Saccharomyces cerevisiae S288C: one gene and its partner. The protein of the gene in region 2 purifies or fractionates together with the protein of the main gene of each other region. This does not show direct contact. Each region holds a gene or a part of one and is shown on either strand. Other genes may lie near its edges.

Region 1 (3,868 bases), on a different chromosome or scaffold from region 2:
TCAATCTTCGACTTACTTGATATGGAGAAGGAACATAGTACCTTACATTCTGAAATTTAGGTGACCAGCTTTGCAACGCCTTTAATAGTGTTCCCAAACTAGCAATATAGTCCGCCCATTCTGTTACAGAGTCAAATCTTTCTAATGCTCGCTCGACATTAGCACGAAACTTCTTCTGTTTGGAGTCTAGTTGTTTATTATTTGAGTCAATTGTAAGGGGCTTTAGTGGTAAGGACATTTTTTGTCGATCCTCTCAGAAAAAGCTGCTCTGTCGGCTTTTTATTTCACCGTTATAAACATAATTGGGAGGCTTGAGTTTTATATTAGGTATTGCTATTGTTCCTTTTCCAGTGAGATCGAAGCTTAGCCTTTGAAAAAACCAAAATCACTTTTGATCACGTGCCTCGGGTGGAACGCCCAGCAAATATATAAGTATGTCGTTTATTAATAAAACGGTAATCGGACTCTAAATATTCCTTCTTTCAGCACTCGCTTATGTCGTTATAAAAACTTGATTAATTTGAGTAATTAGCAGTTTTTGCCGTAGGTATGTTTTTAGAATGTTCTTTTGCACAGTCAGAAGCGTTGTTACCCATAATTTCGTGTTGAGAATATTAAATAATTACGTAAATGATCTGCCAAATGCTGACAATGATTGAAAAATAATTTTAAAGTTTAAATAATGCAAAAAATTTGTGTAAAAAGAATATGTGTCAACCTAAGCCGTTCCATACAAATAAATTTCCATCCCATGCAGTTGAAGCCACATATCCTGGCTTTCCCCACAAGCTCCAGTCAGCTCCAAATACGAATTCTGAATGCTGTGTGAAATTGAAAATGGAACCTTTAGTAGCATCCGTAGAGTTAGTTTTATATGTTTCTTTTGCACCATCGTTGCTGAGATCTCTCCATATTCGACAGGTCATATCATATGAAGCTGACATTAAAATATTGGAATGATGAGGGGACCAGGTAACTTTTCTGATTGCCAGCCCGTGCGCATTAGGGATTTCATTGATGCATGATGAATTGTGAAGTTGGCCGGGCACAGTCCTCTTGATAGTCGCTGATTCATTTTTATTTAGCATCCTAATGTCCCAGATTCTAATGGCATTATCTACACCTCCTGTGGCAACTACATAAGGTCTGTATTTGTTGAAATCGCAAGTCAATGCTTCTAGTCCTGAATGCACTAAAAAATTATTCTGATTTTTGCCGGAAGGTAGTCTAATGTCAAATAAGCTTGCATAAGAATTCCCTGAACAGGATAATACGAGATTTTGGTCGTGGGGCGAGAACTGTGCTTGGTATACACAGTTCCTGTTTTTTGAAATACCTGTAAAGCTTTTCTTTTTCAATATAATGGCGTTTAATGGATCCACCATTTTGGTAATCTCTAAAGGTCGTGGAGTAAGGGTCATTAAACTTTGCTTTCTTAGAGGGGACCATATTTTTATAGATCCATCCCATGAACTACTTAAGAAATTCTGCCTGTTGACTAAGTTCCAATTACAACTGAATACTTCTCGTTCATGCTCTTTAAATATAGCAATAGGAAACTCTTTAAAGGTTGTATCAAACAAGCGTAATGTACCATCGCCCTGTGCAACCAACACTTGGTTTTCATGACTTTCGTTCCATGCAAGATCAAATAAACAATCCTGTGTTAAAAAGGAATTAACTTCCACTATTCTACCTGAACGATCAATCTCAAGGATGAACAATTTTCCATTCCCAACCAGGCCAAAGTTTGAACCAGCAGCTACCGCGAGCCTGTTATCGAAAAAGGGAGAATACTGGACACCGTACCCACTAAAACCTTGCATATGATATCTGAGCATGTTGTATAAATTATGCAAAAAGTTAGATGATAGTCCGTTAACAATATGAGATCTCTGCACTTTTCGAGCGTCGAATTCCAAATCAGAAAGAAAACGATTTCGACCTCCGGTAAAAGATTTTATGGTAAGAAAACACAGTTTGTGTTCCACAGTTCTTAAAAGTGTTTTCACCTTTTACTGTTTTGCGAAACGACTTTTCAGAGGAGGTTATGTCGGTGGTTTAATTTCTCGGCCTTCATATTTACTTGCTGGAGACATGCAAATTTCTGATTAACAATGATTATAGAACTTTAAGTAGAAGTAAAGAAAAATAAGTATATGATATATATATATAAAGATGCAGATAAAAAAAAGGTAAAAGGAGTAGAAAATAATGTCTGAAAATGGATGACTGCCAATAGGACATATTTTCATATTAACATACTTCAGAAGCGGTATTGTTTATTGTGATGATCGTTGCTCATTGTTATCATTAGGGACGTCGTTATGAATGGTGGTGTCCGAACTGCTTGAACCTTGGCCTTGAGAGGGATTTTCGTCTGTAGGAGGAAAGGCAGCAGAATTGTTGTTGCGTAGTTCGACGGTAGTAACATCACCATTTTGATTTCTATAACTGGCAACACCGGAGGAAAACAAGTTATTTCTGTTGTTCTCACCAGTACTTCCACCTCGTTGTTGATCATTGCTATGGTTATTGTCGTTATTGTTGTCTCTTGAGCCATTCGTAAAATGGCCTGTTAATCGTGAAATATTTTCCAAAAAGGAACTTCCTTGCGTTGTATCAGAGGACGATGAGTCATTACGTCCTTGGTTGTGAACAGTTTGTGCTCCGGGTGCTGTTGTTGCAGAGGTATCAGAAGTTCCCCTCTGAGCAACGTTGAATATGTGATCCAAAACGGCTCTTAGTCTGTTGTGGTGAGGGTCTGTAGCGTCACTACTAGTGTTATTTGAGTTTGGACCGTTCGCTGCTGATGGGCTTGCCGAAGAATCAGAAGCGGAAGGATTCGGATTTGGACTGTGGAATTGGAACAAAGTCAAAGGGATGGGAACCCAGCGCGGACTTTGATTGTTATTCGAACCACCAGAATTAGAGGGTGGATTTTGAGTAGTTGAGCTCGGCCCGTTGACACCGTTTCTATCGCTATCATTAGGCGGTAAACGGACTGGATTGTGTAAAGGTTGGCCGTTTTGAGGCACTAAAAAAAAGCCTGTTCTTGATAACATCTGTTCGCCAGAACTTGCATTTCCGATAGTGGGAACCGTTGTATTGGACGTGTTTTCGGATGGGGCGGAACTATTTTCGTTAGTGCTATTCACTGCAGTTGGGTCGTATAAAACTCGTCTAATACGTTCAAAAGCAGCTTCGTTAGCTGCTACTTCATCCGTATCTTGTTGGGCTGCACGTTGAACACCTACAGATTCGCTGATCTTTTGTCTACAAAGGGGACAAGAATTTTCTAATCTTGACCATTTGTAGATACATTCCCTCCCAAAAATGTGGCCACAAGGTAACTTGATTGGTGAGTGTTTGTAGCTTGGATTTGTTTCTTCATCATTGAGAGTGCGTTGTTGTTCAGTGAGAGGAATAGAAGGCGGTTCAACAACCGTAGCATTTGTAATCGATGGGTTACTGTCATTATCGGCGGTTGTGCGTAGGGGCGCACCTTCATTATCCTTCCTTTTTTTTGTTCCTTCAGATTCCTCCTCATTTTCAGAATCCCTTTTTCTTTTTGCTTTAGTTGAATCAACTTCATCTTCATATTCGTCATAACATATACTACATAAGGGCCCTTCGGCCTTGGGTAGATCAGAAACTTGCAGAACGGGGAGCTTATCAAACTCATCCTTTGATATTCCTTTTGGTCTATTTAATAGTCTGTTGAATCTCTCCATTGCAAGCTGAGCAGCAACAGATATGAAGCTGTTCAAACGGTCTTGTGGAGTAGACGCAGGAACATCACGAAAAGATAAAACAAGAGCACCGTCGGGTTGATGGCCCCCATTTCCGATGCCAAAGCTGGGCCCAG
Region 2 (3,073 bases):
GTGCCAGAATGGTTTAATACTTCGTCTTCCTGCTTTTGAGCCAGATAATACAAGACATACATTAGATCCGTCATATAATGTGAAGTATTCAGAATAAACGGCACTATTTGATTCAGCAGTATAACATTTTTCTTGTTGTTTTCGGATATTCCGTCATTGAGCAAAAGTTTGGTTTGTAAAGACGAAACTGTACTTTCATTAGATTCTCGTGTTTCACTCATACGCCTTTATATGCTATCACAGTTACCTTATTTGTCCTTTTTCTTGTAGAGCTATTCTCTATTCTGCTTTGACTTAACTAGCGTGAAATTAAAACCAACGCCGCTTATCTAATCACAATAAAAGATCAGACTGTGAAATTAATAAAAAGGAAAGGATAAAACGACAGATATCGCACTAACTTTGTTAGAAACATTATGCAGACAAAAGAAGGAGATGCATGTGCCTTTGTATTCTTTTAAACGCAAAAAGGGCAGGTCTATGATTAAGTATGAATGAGCGATATAAAATTTAAGTAGAAAAGGGAAGATAATAGTACTATATATAAATATATAAATGCATTTTTTTACATACCTGTTGGGTGAATAATTTACCTAGCTGTTGGATTTGCTGTTACTGTATTATTGTCGTCATCATTGCCATCGCCTTTATTGTTATCATTGTTATTGTCATCATTATCGTTGTCACTGTCATTAATCTGTAACTTAGACTGTATATCGTAACATTCAGACAGCCTTGTTAATGAGGTCATGCCTTCTAGGCTTTCTTGATCAATGTCCAGAGATATATTGGGTTTGTCTAATGATCCTTGATGAGATTGATGCTGCAGCTGACCTTCCCAAGGCCTAGGTCTTGGCCTCAATGAAGGAGTACTAGCTAAACCCTCATCCAGCGTAACATTGGGCACCTCCACAATATTAGGTATAGGCTTGTTATTCAGAATGTGATCCAGCAACTCTTCATAACTAAGTTCACCACCTGCTGCCATGCTTGACTCGTTATGTTCGCAATCAATTTTCAAGAGGTAAACCGAAACATGTGGAGCTCTTTTACAGGCTCCGATAATAATAAAAGAAACTTTAATAGTTGGTAAGAACTTGACAAAAAAAAACACAATATATATACATAAAAAAGTCAACAACTGACAAGCAAGGTAAAAGGTGATAAAGTTGAAAGATGACTGGCGAAGAATGGGGCTTGACTGTACTGTCATTCTTGGTAAGAGTCGGATTTTTTCTTTTTGGCATTTACCAGGACGCTAATTTCAAAGTGAGGTACACTGATATCGACTATTTTGTGTTTCATGATGCTGCTAAATATGTATACGAAGGCAAATCACCTTATGCAAGGGATACATATCGTTACACACCGCTACTAAGTTGGCTGCTAGTGCCTAATCATTATTTTGGATGGTTTCATTTGGGGAAGGTCATATTTGTTATTTTCGATTTGGTTACTGGGCTCATTATAATGAAGCTTTTGAACCAGGCCATCTCCAGAAAAAGAGCTTTAATATTGGAAAGCATTTGGCTATTGAATCCGATGGTTATCACCATCAGTACAAGGGGAAACGCTGAAAGCGTGCTTTGCTGTTTGATCATGTTCACGCTTTTTTTTCTACAAAAGAGTAGATACACCCTAGCTGGAATCTTATATGGTCTTTCTATCCATTTCAAAATATATCCAATCATATATTGTATCCCAATAGCAATTTTTATATACTACAATAAAAGAAACCAGGGTCCACGAACACAACTTACATCGCTACTCAATATCGGTTTGAGTACTCTAACAACTTTGCTTGGATGTGGTTGGGCAATGTACAAGATATACGGATACGAGTTTCTGGATCAGGCATACTTGTACCACTTATACAGAACGGATCACAGACACAATTTTTCAGTGTGGAACATGCTATTGTATTTAGATTCTGCAAATAAGGAAAATGGTGAGTCCAATCTCTCAAGGTACGCATTTGTGCCTCAATTGCTGCTTGTTTTAGTAACTGGATGTCTTGAATGGTGGAATCCCACATTCGATAACCTATTGAGGGTTTTATTTGTGCAGACGTTCGCATTTGTGACATATAATAAAGTGTGCACATCGCAATATTTTGTTTGGTACCTGATCTTTCTACCATTTTACCTCTCAAGAACGCACATTGGTTGGAAGAAGGGGCTTTTAATGGCCACGCTTTGGGTAGGAACGCAGGGAATTTGGTTAAGCCAAGGTTACTATTTGGAATTCGAAGGCAAGAATGTATTCTATCCTGGACTATTTATTGCAAGCGTGTTATTTTTCGTCACCAATGTGTGGCTACTGGGTCAATTTATTACTGATATTAAGATACCGACGCAACCCACAGTTTCCAACAAAAAGAACAACTGACTGACGTGAACTTGCACCATGTACATCAATTCTATAAATCTACTCATATAATGAATGTGTAAATATGAAAAAAAAAATGCAAAAGCGCACCACCAAAAGAGAAAAAAGCTGAAAAAAAAAAGGAAAAAGATACTTGATGTGATGTGTGAGTGAAAAAATTATTAATTCCTACTGGATAAAATCACCCCAAGGAAACAGTTCAAGAGCTAAACTAAAGAAAAGCATATTGCATAAAATGTTAAGAGAAGTCATCTATTGTGGAATTTGCTCCTACCCACCAGAGTACTGCGAGTTTTCAGGAAAATTAAAGCGTTGTAAAGTTTGGTTATCTGAAAACCACGCAGACCTTTATGCAAAGCTATACGGTACTGACGATAATACGCAAGAGGTGGAAGCCGTGACCAACAAACTGGCTGAATCCAGTATTGGCGAAGCTAGAGAGGAAAAGTTGGAAAAGGACTTGCTGAAAATTCAAAAAAAACAGGAAAACAGGGAACAAAGAGAATTAGCTAAGAAGCTGTCATCGAAAGTGATCATTAAAAGAGAAGCTAGGACCAAGAGAAAGTTTATCGTCGCTATCTCTGGGCTGGAAGTTTTCGACATCGACATGAAAAAGCTAGCCAAGACATTTGCGTCTAGGTTCGCCACAGGGTGCTCAGTCTCGAAAAATGCAGAGAAAAAAGAA

Evidence for each region.
Region 1: the proteins of YJR012C (region 2) and PEX7 purify together in Saccharomyces cerevisiae (affinity purification with mass spectrometry, with the first as the bait; 2 studies listed by BioGRID). This does not show direct contact.

Annotation. Positions count from the first base shown.
Region 1 is NC_001136.10:739,760-743,627, forward strand, and holds PEX7 (Pex7p), read right to left. Parts: upstream 1,842-3,868; coding exon 714-1,841; downstream 1-713. Other genes in the region: DOP1 (Dop1p), read right to left, coding at 1-238; ubiquitin-protein ligase SAN1, read right to left, coding at 2,283-3,868. UniProt on the Saccharomyces cerevisiae protein: Receptor required for the peroxisomal import of proteins containing a C-terminal PTS2-type peroxisomal targeting signal, such as 3-oxoacyl-CoA thiolase. Specifically binds to cargo proteins containing a PTS2 peroxisomal targeting signal in the cytosol.
Region 2 is NC_001142.9:459,206-462,278, forward strand, and holds YJR012C (uncharacterized protein), read right to left. Parts: upstream 989-3,073; coding exon 590-988; downstream 1-589. Other genes in the region: CAL4 (Cal4p), read right to left, coding at 1-221; GPI14 (glycosylphosphatidylinositol-alpha 1,4 mannosyltransferase I), read left to right, coding at 1,177-2,388; TMA22 (Tma22p), read left to right, coding at 2,624-3,073.